Linked DNA regions of Caenorhabditis elegans. Changing the gene in region 1 together with any one later gene gives a genetic interaction. Each region holds a gene or a part of one and is shown on either strand. Other genes may lie near its edges.

Region 1 (7,565 bases):
GAAACTTAAATATGAAATAAATCTAATTTTCTTACATTGGCTCCTCTGGGAAGTTCACACGTCGAGCGGATCCGGGTTGCTGGCTCATAGCCTGAAAATTTTAAATTTGATGAAAAGATGGAAAAAAGGCGTAGAAGAAAAAACAAAACCGCATCGTGAATGAAAGAAATCAAGTTAGGGTTGGGCGAAAATTTATATTTTCCCGCTAAGAATAACGGTGGGTCAAAGTCTAGATCAAAGATGTTTTGTAAAGTCGCTTCAAGACTAACTTCCGAAAATCATAATCGCGCCTTGAAAATTTTCAGTGGGGTACTGTAATCGTTGCGAAACCCGCAAGAAAAGCGCGCGTTATTCAAAAAGTGTTTTAGTTGAAATATTTTTCCGCAAAAAATATTTAAATAATGAAAACACGTGAATCGAAAAATAATACAAATGAAATGTATTTTTAAGTTTTAACTCAAATAAAGTGTCTGAATAATATGCTTGAGAACCAGTGTAATCGCGATATTGAGTGAGTCCATCGACTTCTAGGTTTTCAATCGAATTAACCAAGTTCTGAAATCCCAATAAAATTTCAATATCTAGGACCCAACGCCCAGAGGAACCACGTGGCAGAGCTCAATCGGGATCTGAGCTAGGAGCCACTGCGCAAGATCCATGCTTCTGTATGCCAGTTTATGTGTGGTTCATCATGATGGCACTCATTCATTGTGCCATTCTGACCCTGCACATTTTGCTTGTCAAAAATTCGTAGCCGTGGTGGTATGTCTTTGAAGTGAGACCGCCTGTATGTATGTGACACGTGGCAATTTTTTTTCAATATTTCAGTTTCTTCTTGTCGGCTTATCCCTGTTCATCATTTGTGCCCCGAATACATTTTCCGTCTTTGCCCACTTCCTGCTTCAGATCTTATTTTGGGTATCCAGCGATCCTCTAAAAAAGTAACAAAATTTTACAATTTTTCAGACTGGCGCCATCTTTGCGCACTGCTACACGTTTTCGAATGGTGTGCACACAGTTGAAACTGGTGGTGATCGTGCTTGGCGCATTGCTTCCTTCATCTCATATCTGATCTCTTCTCTGATTTACATCATAATTTTTGTCCGTCTTCTTGTGTCTTCTAGATGAATCTTCTTGTGTCTTCTAGATTAAAGTCTAATAAATAATTCATATACACGATAGACGAAAAAAAAGGGCCCGTTATCAAATTGTCGAAAAGAGTTCGCACTTGTAATAGAACATGAGATAATTGAGAGATGGTTGGAGAAATGAAGTGAGCAACAAATAATACGGATAGATGGGAAAAAACTAATTAGATTGGGGAGTGATATGCTCCAAATACTGATAATGAGAACAACGAAATGAAGTGGGTATTTGATGTGAAACTACATAAGGGAACATGGGGATGGAATGAAGATAAATATATAATAGCACATGAATAAAACTGGAAGATCGATTTGATTGAGATTGTGTGTCTGTGCACCGGGAGTAGGGAATTCTGTACCCGCACAAAGATTCATTCACATTAGTTGTCGATGATGCTGCATTTGATGCTGTTGATGTTGTTGTGAAACTATTCTCTGCTGATGTCTACCAAGATCGATGATCTTTGACAACATAGTTTCTGAAATAGATCGTGAATTGTAAAAGGGAATTATGGGAATAAAAAATTTCATATTTCAGAATTTATAAAATTTCTAAACACGGTTGTAATTTTTTTTATCGCAGTGATAGAAATGAAGAGGCTTTTAATGTTCTGGAAGTAGCTAAATTTTGCGCCAAAAATACAGTACCCGGTCTCGACACGACAAGCTTTTGTTAAATGCAAAATGGTGTGCGCCTTTAAAAGTCCTGCATTATGAAATTTTAGTTTCTGCTGAATTTTCATAGATTGTTCATAGGTTTTCATAAATAATAATTCACAAAACCCCCAAATATTTCAATTGAAACGTATATTTTTTACAAAAAAAACTATTTATGAAAGCACATATTTGCATTCAACAAAAAGTTACCGTAATTCTTGGCGCAAAATTGAAAAATTTCGCGTTTGTGTATTTTAAAAATTCGTATTTTTTGTTAGTTTCTTCAGAAGTTAAAAACTCACGAATATTCGAATTCTGCCGACGAGCCTTGAGTTCCGCAAAGAATGCTTCAGTCATTTTTGCCTGTTCCAGGAATCTGTACATCATAAAAGTTTGCAGTGACTCGTCACGACTACAAATTGACAAAATGAATGCTAGCCACTCTTGCAGAATACCGTCACTCATCTCATGTGTCAGCCATTGGAAGGGGTTTAGCGTGCCATTTCTGGAATAAAATGAAATTAATTATTTCAATTGTGATTTTCAGTGTAAAAAACTTACGTCAATACTAGCTTCAAACTGTGGAAAAATCTTGGATTTGCCTGACTACAAAGATTCGTTAAAAGTCCCACAGATCGTTTTACAATATCTTCGTGATCTTTTCGTCTGTCATCTAATTCTCTTCTCTGCTCAGCACTTCTACCGTCACAATTCATCATTTCAACGCTCTGAAAATCAATTATAATTTATTTGTTTCTACGAATTTAATTTATAGCTTACAGTTTTCCGCCATTCGTCCAAACTCTGGAATGCTCTTTGAAGCAATAAAATTGGTAGTGGCTCATTTGTTGTTCCAAGTAGATCAACAAACGGATCAGCAAAAGCAGGAACCGTCTCAATGACACGTTTCATTACTGTCACCGCAAGTTTCCTGCACTTCCGATTTCCAACGTTAAAGTAATGAAGGAGCACATATGCGGAGTCGGCATTCTCACTGATCATTCTACACGCTGATACTGCAGATTCTTTGATATCTTGAGGTGCCATAGAAGTCACATTGTTCAATACGGATAGACAATTTTCATAAATCGACAGAATCTGCTTTCTATATAAATCTATATTGGCATCTGAAAAATAAGTAAATTAGAATTTCAGATTGAATATTTCAAAACTAACGTGGCTGATATGTAAACTGTTCAGATGTCCGAAGAACTGCGATCGCATGACTTGTAACTCCATCCTGCACCATAAATGCCTTGTTCATCTTGTTATGAAGTCCAATATTTCGTAGAGTTCCAGTCGCTAGCTCAACAATCGTTACATCCGAACATCCAATAAGTTGAACTATACAATGAATCGATTCTTTCATATCCTGCTCCTGGATCGCTGGCAAATCTGATACTCGTCTCAAACACTTCAGAAGTTCGTGAAGAAGTCGTGTTGATCCATGCGAAAGAAGACCGCACAAAACTTGTGCTCCACCCATTTGCACAAAATGTGTTCCATTCTTAACATCTCCACAGAATACGGTAAGAGCCTGCATCGTTGACCACAACAAATCCTCGTGGATCACTTCGTTCTGCATAATTTGATGAAAGAGGCTCACAACACCAAGACGTTCTGACATATCTTTGATAGTTGCATTTTTATTCGACAAATTCTTAATAATCGATACACAAAGTCCCTTATTCTTTGACTTCGTTTCCGGTCTTCTCAGGTTTCCAATTGCAAATTCAATTACTATTTTGTGAAGACGTCGATGTGCTGGTGACTGTTGAGTCTCATCTTCTCCAAAGAAAATCTTCATGAAATGAGGTTTACAACAAAGATGTACGAGCAGAACCATAGCACTGGACTCGAATTTCGTGTCAAGTTGAATGGCACGTGTCATCACGATCTCATAGATACTGTATGGCTTTGGTACATTGAACACAGGCGGCCCATTGGGATCCATTAATGCCGCATTCAGTCGGAAGAACATCCTGTCGATACGTCGGATTTCCTTGTTGGAGAGAAGAATTGAGTGGTGGAGAATTTCAAACGCTTTCCGGATTACCTACAAAAAATATGGAGTTGTCAAACGATATTTTAATACATCTATATATATTTTTTTTTTTTTTTGAAAGATTTTTTTAGATTTAGATTTTAGATTTTTAAACAATATTAGGCTGTAGGCATCCACTTAGGGATGACGATGTTCCTACCTACCATGAAAACCTTCAACGAACATTTATGCAAAACTTACATTCTCATTCTCAACTGGCCGAGGAATAAGAACTTGAAACAGAGCTCGAATAATCGGTTCGGCTCCTTTAGGTCCCCAGGTTTGCAACATTCCACCAGCTTTCACAATTGGCTCCAAAGCTCGAATCGCTGCTGCTTGATTGATTAGTTCCGTTGATTCCAGATTCTCAATAATCTCGGGAGCTGTCATCGGATACTGTCGATTCGTCGGATCCTGATTCTCGGAAACCTGCGATACACGTGTCAGTGCTCGCTGATATGGTGCCTGATTGACAAAATTGTTGAATTCACCCATTTCAGTGTTGACTGAGAGCATTGACAATCCACCGTACGAGTAGGCGGTCATTTCTGACATATTCGTCATGTGAGACATTGTGGAGCCGATCTGAAATTTGATTTTATTATCTGTTCAAGCCGCGGAATTCTTATAAAAATCTCTTACCACACTCGGAGGCCTCGAAAACCTTTGTTGTTGTCCTGCCATCTGCGGCGGTGCATAGGTACCCTGCATCCAAGCATTTGTGTATGATCGCTTTCCCACAGCAGCTTCCCGGAGTTCTTGCACCCGAGAATTGGACGGTTCCATGTTCTGAGGTTGAGCCTTGAACGGCGAACCTGAAAAATGAAATATGAATATGTGAAAAGAGGTATGTAATTTGAGGGAAGTTTCCAATGGGGAACACATAGACACACGAGACATACGAAAATGGAATGGGGGAAGTGATAAGGTGATGTGATTGGAGAGGGTCGAGAGAGAAAAGGGCGCGAAATGGCCTTTTGGAATATGTTATCGACCAGGAAATTCTTGGATTAATTGTTATGCAAACGAGTTTTTATTCAATCATTCTAGATCAGGGGTACGCGGTAATTGAGCCAGTGTGGCATGTTTTCAGTAGAAAATAATATTTGCTTTATCTGAAGATAACTTTTGTTTCAGTTTGAGAAATTGAAAAAAATTTTCGATGATTTGTCGAAAATTTTGTCGGGCAATTCTCAACTTTCAGACAATTTTCGGAGCACTTTTCAATTATTCCAGCTTAAATGAAAGTAATTCTCAGATTACAATAATTCTTTTCCGAATATTAAAAATCTTAAGCATAAATTGGCCGCTTTTAATCTTTTTTTCGAAGTAAAGCCAAAATTTCATATCTTTCTCACCTGAATATTGTCTGGCAGACATTGTAGAAGACGGCCGAACTGGTGTTGAAACTCTCGATGTTGACGGAGTCATCGGATTGAAATTCAGCGGAGTGCATGGTTGCGAGACTGAAATTTTATTGATTTTTTTAATAATTATTATTTCAAGGGGGAACCTACATGTTTCTGCGCAATCCACATCCATTTCAGATGGGTGGTTGCAGGTCCGTTGAGGAACCTGAAACTAAGCTAAAATGAGAAATTTCGATGTGAGAACCTGAGAAAACGCCATTGATGAGGGGAATAAAGGAAAGTAATCGGATGTGTGTGGAGATTTCACAAAAAAATGAAGAAGTTTCAAGAGAAGTTAAAAGAATTACGAACTTTTGGATTTGTGAGAATTGTATCTAATTCTTGCAGCAACTAGAAAATATTTTAAAAATTGTTTAATTTATGAGTTTTTTGAATCAAAGCAATAGTTTTTTTCTCAATTTTAATATAATTTACAGAAAAGTTTAAAAAATAATTTTTTTCATTTTAGAAAATAACTCAGAATGCTGTGCAAAAGTACAAAACCCCTTTCCTATTGTCTTTCGAGCAACTGCTATTCACACCTTCCAAGTCAAACATACTCAAGTGGACACTGAGCTTTTTTCAATATTGACAGACTTTTTGACACCTTATTCTATTTTTTTTTTTCGAATAGTCAGCCACTTGTAGAAAATTTTGAATTTCTGAAACATTGGTGAATGGATAATAAATGCAAAACGATCGGGGGTAACCAATAAATCAGTTCATATGGGTATATACTCTGTGGGGGGTCAACACTTGAATGCTGTTCAAACAGCAGGACGAACGGCCAGTTGCAAAATGTTTCGGGGAAATTTAATCCGAAAATAGCGGAGAGAAAATTATTCCTATTAAATACGTAACTCACAAAGTTTATCAGTAAGTTTTGCGATGAAAAAAAGATTTAAACTGATAAGAAGAATGGCATCGCCCGTCCGAGAGGAGTACACAGCCGGTGGCCTAGAAACCTCCGCGCCGCGAATCAATACATTTTGAATTCGATTGAAGCTTTCAATACTGAAAGTTAATCTAGTGAATAAATCAAAGAAAATGTGATGCCGTTGAGCAGGAAGTTTACTTCGAAAGGCCACACAAATGTTTTATGTGAAAATTTCTGGATTTGGGATTAAAGTTTTTTATTTAAATTTTAATCAAAACCTTGCGAGTTAGCTCGAAAAAAAGGAGAAGCATTGGCGAATGGATAATATGCACCTGCTCAGGCTGAAGGGAATCAGTGTGTACACGACTCGTAGAGAAAGAGACAACAACCAACTAGTAATCAATCAATTTGACCACATTATTAAATCATCAGGCGTGTCATCGGAGACAAAAATGTGACGAAGAAACATTTGAATCTATGACTTTGAGGATATCAAGTGAGGCGTGAGGATGAGAAGAAGGAAAAGAAAAAATGAAAGCCGGATTTAGGGGAATTGAAAATGAACCGGAAATTGGAAGAATCAAGAGCAGCGGCGAGGAAAAATCAATTTTAGAGAATTTAACATTTTTTTGTGAAATGCAAAACCTGTTTTTTTTTTCTTTTTGAAATTCTGCTAAATTTCAGTTTTAACAAAAAAAACTGATATTTCACTATTTCTGGCCGAAAATCTGCAAAATTCCTCAATTTTCACCTCTAAAAGTAGGGTTCAAGTCAAAAATTGCATTTTTCACATGATTTATGTTGATAAATCGGAAATTTTCAGCTTATTCGTGTTGTTGAAAATCAACTAACTTTGAGTTTTTTGTTTCAATATCGACAAATCGTGTTCTAAATGATTCCTGTGAATTCGGGTACAAATTTGAGAAATTTAAAACATAATTTGGCAAAAAATTTACGAAAAATACAGGAATTTTCAATGGAAATTAAAGGCAGAGAAATAGTCGAAAATTTTGCAGAAAAACCAAAAAAAAATTGGCAAATAAAAGCAACTGTTGCACCTGTTTCCCACGTTTTTCTCCCTATCGCTTCAGAAAACATCTGTCTCCATATGTTTGCATAAGCGTGAAGATTTCGAACGGAAGAACGTCGATTCAAGGACACTTTCTCAGTAAAACGGATTTGAAAGTGATGCCTTGATGACACAGTTTTTAAAATCCACACACCTACGGCTAATTGGGCAAAGTCGATAATTGGAGCAGCAGAGTAAAATCTATAGAAAAATAGAGTGGTGGGAAAGATGGTGTGGGTGAATGGTGGACAAGAAAGTGTACGAATGTGCCTGATGACAAACAGACCCAAGCAGAGGGTGAATGAATGACCAGGGGAAAGGTGCCCCGTGTGAGAAACGGTCCGATGAGATAGTATGCTGAACG
Region 2 (8,904 bases), on another chromosome or scaffold:
TTCACTGCTCTATTTTTGAAACTGTCCCGAAATAACTTGTATTGCTAAAATCAAATAACCAGATAATGCTATAACATATGTTGCTGCACAATTTTCTTAAACCTACACAAAAAAACAATTATTGTAAGCATCTACAAATTCAAGCTTTTGATCCCTTCCACTGTTCCAACATTAACCTAACTTTATTGTATGATTTTCTCATGCAATACCAGAACCATCGTAATCGATTTGCCGAATTTCATGACATCTTCCTTTCCTCCTTCATCTAACTGCTTCTCTCGATTTTTTATGCGTGTAGTGTGTCTTCATCTCCTTCTTTCAGAATGATGTCTGCGCAAGTTGAAAAACTGCAGAATCGTCGGTGCGTGTGAGGGTGGGGGTACCTCTCATTTTCTTTCTTTGATCGACCAAAAAAAAATGGAAAAGACGAAGAAGACATATAAAACCAGTTCGGTTAAATCGTTGGGCCTCTCCGTGGGTGGTGGAAGAAAAAAGCGTAGGGAGACAAGGGGCTTTGATTTTTTTCTCTTCTTTTTACCTATAGGTGGAATATTTATTGTCATTTTTTAAGGTTCAATAGTTACAAAGAAGACGCAGAATCGAAAAGTAACCATTCACTTTTTTTCGTTCTGAAAGTAATACTCCTATATGGCAACTGACACAAAATATAGGAAAAACGCCCTTTGTAGACAAGGCGAGGAAAATAAAGGGCAAAAATAGACAGATAAGTGGGAAAAGTACTTTCACATCCAGAGTGAACTGTACTCACTCTACAAAGTATTTAAGTTTAAAAGATTGGTCTTAAAAATTTTAAACTAAAGTCTAGTTTTCTGAAAGTTTTCAGAACCAAATAAAAACCAAGTCTTATTTTTTTAAATCCACAAAAACCTGAAAGTTCATCCTACAATCGCAATACTTCATTTTAATATTTTTTGTAAAAGTATTTCAAATAATTTAAAATTTCAATTTTTATATACGATCTGCACATACAAAACAAGTGAGGTGTGTTGATTGATCAAAATCAAAGAAAAAAAGAATAATAAAACAACCAAACATAAAAATCCATAAAGAAATAAAATGGGGGCGAATTCAGACAAAATACAAATATATTAATTGCATGTAAAACAATTATCCGTTTTGCAGAAGAGAACAGTCTTAAAGTTTTGGGAAGATGAGAAGAGTTCGGCAGAGAACGTTTTTTCGGAATTTTCAGATTTTTGTTGGGAGAAACAATAATAATAATAAAGTGCCAATTTTGATTGGCTCGTGACCTAGGAAAATGGGTTTTGAGAGGAAAGATTTTTGAATGAAAAAAAAATAGAGCAAAATACATTTAAAAGCTGTGAGGGTTTGGGCACTAGGATACACAGATATTGAGACAAAATGAGAATTGAAAAAATGCAAATGATTTAAATAAAGTACAACCGACTAAAAGCTGACACAGCACGAAAAATGCAAGATATTCAATAGATCTTGAAGAAAATGAATTGAAATGCATGGATGGAGGTTTTTGAGGTATAAAATGATATTGATATTATAAAGTTGAATAAGTGAAATAAGGGAATTATGCAGAAAATACTGGCTGTCTGTAATTGACAACAGAAAAAACCGGTCCCGTAAAAATGGAAGAGTTGAGCGAGATCGCTAAACAAAGGGAGTTGCTGACTGACTCCATTGGAAGTTTTCAGCTCCTATGACAGAGACATTATGATGCCATGTACGGCACAGCAGTGTATGTGGCTTGTGGGGTTGGCAGTTGGATTGCTGGGACCTGAGTGATTGCGGTGACGCTACTGCTAGCCGATCGGTTGACAGTAGTGCGAATCATTTCAAGAACCAAGGAGGCTTCCGGAAAGAATTGCTCCCAGTTCGTGGGGCAGTTTGAATGAAGGTTCCATAAGTACCGTAGTGAGTCGTAAGCGAGTCGTCTGAAATTAGAAAGAATAGATTGTAAGAAGTAATTAATCGACTTATTCATATTTCCCAATGCATATTCATAAGTCAAGTTGTTTTCTGTCTATTCATATGTATTTAGTAAAGATTCTCTCCCCGTTCTTAGTGCCACCTGCTGCGCAACAATACCGTATACATATTGTGCCCCGTTTTCTAATCTGTTTCCTTCTCCTCGCGCACCTATCCAACCAGAATAAATGAGCCTTCCTATTATAAGTTTTTTTCTCCACTCTTCCGATGCTTCTCTTCTCTCCCCAATTCTTTGTCTCCTGTATACAACAAGTTTTTGGAGGGAGAGATGAGCACTAATTATACGGCAACGTTGCTAATTTGTGTGGAGGCGAGGGGAAAGATTGATTTGTGATGGGTTTTTACGAAGGCCAAAGGTTTACCTGATTTGTTCGAAAATTTCCAGAAAGGCGGTAGTACATCTCACTTCACGCCAAGATTGGAGTACTCGAGATCGAGCAGTAGAGACTGCTGGGAAAGAGTCCATTGATTGGTCAAAAAGGGCTAAGAATCGGAAAGCACAATAATCGAAATTCGTGAATCCCATATTTCGAAGCCGAATAACAACATCATTCCATGATGATACGAATGTTTGATTGCCAAGAAGAGCTACAAGACCGACGGGAACTCTGCAAAAAGAATACGATTTTATAGTGGTTTATTGGGCCTTAAAAGGTCTTGAACTTTTGAAAGACCACCGGCTCGTTTTCACAACAATTACGTAACTAAAATGGTAGCCTAATCCTTATTAGAGCCTATGCCGGTAGTGGGAAAATGCGCAATACTTTATACGATGAGCTCGCGGGACGAAGATCTTATCTGGTGCCGAGAATCAAGACTTGCGTCATGTCGGCACCCAATGTTGCGAGAGGCAAAAAAGGTGGGTAATCGAGATAGATGAGTCAAGATTTATCGCCAAATCTTTATAGCCTAATCTTATAGACGCCGCTGTCAGATCGGTTTGTTTATAGTAGTTGTGTTGCGTTGGAAGTTGATTGACTCATTAAATAGCCAGAATCAAACGTTCCACAAAAATTGTTTCCGAGCCTTAGGAAGAATGGAACTCAAAGAAATTTTAACAACTTACTCATCACCATTTGACATTTTATACTGCGAAAGAAGATTTCCGTGGACCATTGCATTAGTGATATCAACGATATGAACGGTTGTCCACGATGTTTGCAACAGAATCATTTGGTCATCCAACTGGAATAAATGCACTTTAGTAAATCTTCAACCAATTACTTATCACACTCAGGATATAAAAAGGTTGCGGTGCAATTACTCCTAGTACATAATGGGTGTCCGTAATGAAAACAATAGAGGTGTGTTTGTATGGGGATGTACCTTTTGAGAAGGAGCGCCTCTTTTTATAGCGGCGATTGTTTCTTTTGATCACCGGAAGCGAGCAATTTATCTACATTATTCCCATCTCATCAGGGTGGGAAATAGAGAATAAAAATATTAGAAAAAAACCGCTGGTGGGAAATGAGAGTGCCTAGATTATTATATTGTTGTATGTATTATTTTACCGATAATTTGCTGAATAGTTGATCATTTTTTGCCCAAATCACGATATCTTTCAAATTTTCCTCTGCGACTTGAATGGAAAATGCGTGCTTTTCAGGTTTGCTAGTTCCTTTTACGCTTGTGAAAATTCGAGCAATTTGAGCATCATCGGGTAATGTTTTGCACATTTCGGCGATCGAGCTGTTGTAAAAGTGGTCCACCGTTTTTTCAGTTGGTGCTGGGCAAAGTGGGAGAATTGGTGATGTGCTGCTAGCTTCTGTCATTCGGCCAGTTGTTGCTGAAATTAAGTAATGTTAACATTTCAAAAATTAAAAAAAAACTTAATCAAAAATTTGAAATGTTGAAACTATAAACTGAAGACAAGAAAAAGCGATAAAAAAACTAAAACTTACTAGAAGAAGTCGAAGTGACCAAGGATTGTGTGCTGGAAACAGTTGTCATTGGCATCATTGTAGCATAATTGGTAGTGTTGCTGGTATAAGTTGGATAGTCGTGCAATGAGTGATGAATGAACTGCTCCGAATAGTCAAATGGCTCCTGTTTGACTTCATTCAACTGATAAGCTGCTGGGAAGGTATGCCTGAGAAGTGGGTCGTCAATTGTGCTCCCAAGAAGTACTGCCAAGCTGTCTTGTGGGTCAACTAAGTATCCAGGTCTCATGATAAAATCGGAAACAGAAACTGAAATTTATAATTTGATGCTATTAACAACTCCAGAAAATATTCTTACGCTGCTGATTAGTGCTACTGGACAATGTTGGACTCTGGAGATGTGCATCATACTCAGTTTTGATATATTCAGTTTTGATTTTAGTTTGGTCAAAATAGTTGATTTGGTTGTTCTGGTCAGTTGTGCTGAAATATGAGATTGATAAGTTGAAAGAAATATAAGAAATAAAGCTCACCTGCTTGAAACCTGGTGCTCTGGAGGTTGATAGAATGTTTGTGCTTGTGATTGTGCTCCAAGGACGGCTGGAACTTGCACTGTGCTCACTCTCATTGCGTTTCTCTGCATACGATGAGCCCGATCCTTCTTATAAAACGATCCGAACTTGTTTCGTCCACCTCTCATCCTATCGGCACGCACCGCTACAAAACATAGTCATTATCCAAGTGCACACACTCATTTCGATGTTCCCCCTTCAATTTACAGTTCCCCGTTTGTACCCGCCAGATGACTGTACACACGGCTCATTTGATCTGGAGTAGAGTGGGCAAGTGCAGTCATTTTTGCCGCAAAACATGCGACACCCTGCAATTGAGATCCTCACGAAAAACGCGCCGCAATGAATGAGTTCGGCACTTCATGTTTTCCCAACAAAGGTACTGTTCAGCACCTATAATTATCGAGCCGGCTACTATTGTTTTGCACTTTTACTACTTCCCCGAATGCCAATAGTTCTTTTATGATGCACCGGATGTCCTAATAAAACTTCACTGAACTTCAGTTGTTTTCCAAGGTGTTGCCTCACTTTTCTCCAACATTTGAAATGGTTGCGCGCCTGCCATAGAGCGTTTGAGATGCGCGCCTCCACCCCCAGGTCTCCAGGTACCGGTTTTTCGGTGACTGTCAGATCTATTCTTCTCTTCCACTCTCACCGTTTCATATCCAATTTTGCATCTCTCTTTTCAATATATCGTTTTTGTTGTCATGCAAAAACGAAACGAAAAGAAAAACGAGAGAGAGAGAAACATGTAACAGAGATGAAAGAAAGGAGAAGTAGAAATCCACAAAAAGTGTAAGCCTTGCGCGATGATTACGTGGAACAAGCTTATGACGCTGCTTAAAGTGCAAATTCAAAATTTTTATAGAGATGGACTTTCGATAACGGTTACATCCCTTATTATCCCATCAATCAAGAAGTCAGCACAGTATGTGCTCTTACAGAAGAGCGGTTGCGCTCTTTTAGATATGATAGATATCTTACCTTCCATTTTCATTCCCATTGTGAGGCACTTCTGGAATCGACAGCTTGGACACCTCTTCCGGCAAGTACGATCCACGTGGCAGTTGGCTTCGGCAGAGCATTGATATTGCTGAAAGAAGGGACAAATTGGAGAAAGTCGAAAACAATACTTAGATAACATCAGCTACAGTGTTATATTTTTATACATATGTATGTACTCACCTTCTTGTTTTGAACAGTGCGTTTGAAGAAGCCCTGTAAAGAGAAAATTATTGATGGAGAGAATGAAACAATAAATGGAAAAAAAAGAATCAAATGAAAAACTAGAGATGACCGCCCGATGAGGGTCATATGGCAACAAGTGAATGATTTTGGCGGTGAGAGTTGTCTGTCCTTGAAGGGCTCGAACGTGTCCCTGAGTCGGGACTCTCACTAACTACAAATGACCTTATCATTTTGCCACACACCCACTTTTTTCCCGCGGAAAAAAAGTGAAGACATCTAAGACTAACCTTGCAACTTTCACACGTCAGAAGGCCGTAGTGATATCCAGAGACTCGATCACCACAAACCGGGCACATCTCGCCTTCATGATTCGGTCGCAGAACCATCCTCTCGACGTCAGTCATTTATTTCTGGAACAGATCTCGGATTACTGTATGTTCGAATGAAATTGAAAACAGAAAAATGAATTTGAGAAAGGGATAGCTGAATGGCACAAGGTATGAAGGACCTGTCCAAGGATGGCACGGTACGGAAGAAAAAGTAGGCGGAGTCGGAAAAGTGAGAGTAAGTGGTTCGCTGCCGTGTGGATCTCTTGGGCCGGTCGATCTCCTCCCACCACACCACTGGCGGCATCAGCGAGCCTATCGTTGGATGTCTTTGGTTGTCTCGCACCCTCCACCATGCTCTACCCGAGGGGACCTACATACCGTAAGACACACCCGCTCGTCTTCTTCGTCCACTAAAATCCGCCAACGGCTACCTATGTATAGAAGAGAGTCGTAGTTGAAGGTCGACGCGGAGGCCTGAAATAGTGAACGTCGATGGGAGAGAAGGGGATGATCGAGAGGGAAAAAATGATGAAAAAAAGGAAGAGAAAAGAAGAGGACGTGGGGGTCTTCTTCTTCTTGACGGGAGGTAAAGAAAAACGATCGACGACGACAACGGAGAAAGCAAACGTGTGAGTATGGCAATTCAGTGGCGTATCGTCAGGGGTCGTGCCAGGCACCGCTACAGTTCGTTTTTTGCCCAGTAACTTCAACTTGAATATCTCTTGTTCTCTCTGCGCAGCGCGCGAAAACCGCAGGGACGGTGGGTCTCGATTTTTTATAGTCTCACTTGCTGCCCCCCGGGTGGGAAAAGGAGATTTGATTTTCTTTGCATTGTTCTTCATTTTTTTTCTTCGTCAATTCACTTATATTACCTACCTAGACTGCTTTGATTCATCGCCTACCCTAAAAGTCGCCTCCACCCCTTTTTCTCGCTATCTACATTTTATTACGCAATCAGCCGGTTAAGAGGAGATATCGAGAGATAACGTAAATAGGACCATATAAGTTAGCCTGGGAAAAAGATTTTTAGAAGCGCCAAATAAAATAAATTTTTAAAACAAAATAAAACAAACTCGACATATGCTTGTATAGAAAAGCACTTCCGGTTAAAAACTATCTGCTTCGATATGATAGAAATTATCCCAACAAGGAAACCGCTTAAAAATGAATAGTACAAATAAGACAAATTATCAAAATCGAAGTCAAATGTTACTAGATGTTACCAGTATAAAAATTTGTCATCCTGTTCTCTACGTCTGAAATTTCGCATCTAAAAACTTCTACTGAATCTTGATGATATCTCACCGTGCAGAATTGGTTTTTGGACATTTTTTTTATTAAAAAAAGGGCGGGGCGCTGGGTGAAACTTTTTTCGCTCAAAAATGACCGAATTAAAAAAAAAAGTTTACAGGTTATTTGAAGCTTAAAAACATTAGGTTCTAAACGTGTGTACTAACAATGAAGCCAAATTGAGATTAATTGAGATAGCTCATCGAAAATATTTCAGAGAGTCAAGACAGGAAATTATTTTCTAAAAAATACTGAACAATAAAAAAGTTATTCTCGAAAAATGCACAAAAAGCAACATGCTCAGCTAAGACTAGAAACGTTATTTAAAAAAAATAGAATATAAAATTTCGTCAAAATATTGATAGTTCTTAGATTAAAAAAGTTATATTCTCATTTTGAGCTGGTATTTCAACAAAGTTTAGATATTTAACAATGTATATTGTAGAAAGCTAATCATTTTTGCATAATTATGATAACGTCATTATCAAAAATTGAATCGTCTGGTTAAATTAAAGGTATGCCTGTTAGGTTTAAATAGTTTTTAATCTAAATTTAAAATAGGTTTTTCTATATTATAAGTTCAAAACACGTATTTTATTGGTTTTCGTATTAAACTTTCCACAAATACTTAGGAAAAAAAGGAAAATAAAATATGGCAATGACTATATCCGGGATTTTGTATATGTATGAAATAGTTAAAGGCGCTATAGACATCATCAGTGAAAATATGATAAGATAAGTGCAAGTCGGGCAAAAAAAAGAAAGGGCTGCGCAACAACCGGAGACAGTGTAATATTGCAGAAAAATTGGAAGTATGTCAAATGACGCCTTTAACAAAATTTTGAATAAGCTATGCATATGTTTCAACTAAGCTCAATCAGATAAGAACAGTATCAAATTTCAGTGTGAGGTGCGCAACAATACTTCCAGATGTAAACATTTGGCGAGATTGATGGAGAAATCAGAGAGATAGAGATAGAAGATGAATGTACAAGGAATTCCTGATCAAAGAAGAAAATTTGCGTTGGCATGGTAGAATGGAGGAGGAAAGAAGGGTGTGAAAAAACAGTAGCAACACGAGGAGAGAGAGAAAGATATGGAGTGAAATAGGTGAAGAGAGGGAGGAAAATAAGAAAAACTTGCGGCGCCGGGGGCCCGCCGATGAAAATGTCCCGCATTTGGAAAATGGCGCGGATAAAAGAGACAATATTGAATTGAGAGACAGACCGTACGGCATCTGCTGGATTTTCTTACAAAAGAGTGTTGCGTTTTCATCAACTTATTTTCGCGCGGCGTGGTGTGGTGTTGCGTGATTTTTATTTGGCGCAAAGCTGCTGACTATTAACTAATCAAATGGCGCTTGGGAACCGAAAAATTGCAAAGACAAGACGAAGAAGAAAGTCAGAAGCCATTTTGCTGTGACAAATAGGCACGTGACACCGCTGCGTCAAACCTATGTGGATTAGACGAAGCACAGTAAAATGTGTTATTGTTGATATAAGTTACAGATCAGTGAAGAGATAAAAAATTTAAAAAAAAAGGGCTTCGCCAGCCAATTTCCGTAACTCCTGGATATGGCTGAAATGTAAATTCTAACGTGCAAATGTCGGAGAGTAAAAATTGAAAATTGACTCTTCTCGGTTTTTTTTCACATTCTGAAGC

The links.
Region 2: of wrm-1 (region 1) and nhr-25, changing one suppresses a phenotype caused by changing the other (phenotypic suppression), as found in Caenorhabditis elegans (one study listed by BioGRID).

What each region holds. Positions count from the first base shown.
Region 1 is NC_003281.10:5,720,706-5,728,270, reverse strand, and holds wrm-1 (Armadillo repeat-containing protein wrm-1), read right to left. Parts: upstream 5,422-7,565; 5' UTR 5,389-5,421; coding exon 5,364-5,388; intron 5,313-5,363; coding exon 5,205-5,312; intron 4,662-5,204; coding exon 4,489-4,661; intron 4,432-4,488; coding exon 4,048-4,431; intron 3,859-4,047; coding exon 2,979-3,858; intron 2,930-2,978; coding exon 2,583-2,929; intron 2,531-2,582; coding exon 2,364-2,530; intron 2,308-2,363; coding exon 2,105-2,307; intron 1,625-2,104; coding exon 1,521-1,624; 3' UTR 1,156-1,520; downstream 1-1,155. Other genes in the region: LDL receptor repeat-containing protein egg-1, read right to left, coding at 36-88. UniProt on the Caenorhabditis elegans protein: Antagonistic role in the Wnt signaling pathway that operates in embryogenesis. When located at the cortex it has been shown to inhibit Wnt signaling during asymmetric cell division but when relocated to the nucleus it shows positive regulation.
Region 2 is NC_003284.9:13,006,015-13,014,918, reverse strand, and holds nhr-25 (Nuclear hormone receptor family member nhr-25), read right to left. Parts: upstream 6,427-8,904; 5' UTR 6,331-6,426; intron 6,034-6,330; 5' UTR 6,028-6,033; coding exon 5,911-6,027; intron 5,902-5,910; exon of another isoform or gene 5,699-5,901; intron 5,654-5,698; coding exon 5,621-5,653; intron 5,529-5,620; coding exon 5,420-5,528; intron 5,148-5,419; exon of another isoform or gene 5,006-5,147; intron 4,813-5,005; exon of another isoform or gene 4,630-4,812; intron 4,581-4,629; coding exon 4,397-4,580; intron 4,347-4,396; coding exon 4,222-4,346; intron 4,173-4,221; coding exon 3,885-4,172; intron 3,770-3,884; coding exon 3,495-3,769; intron 3,169-3,494; coding exon 3,050-3,168; intron 2,592-3,049; coding exon 2,346-2,591; intron 1,929-2,345; coding exon 1,706-1,928; 3' UTR 957-1,705; downstream 1-956. UniProt on the Caenorhabditis elegans protein: Orphan nuclear receptor and probable transcription activator, required during development. Plays a role in male tail tip morphogenesis regulating the expression of the transcription factor dmd-3 in a negative feedback loop.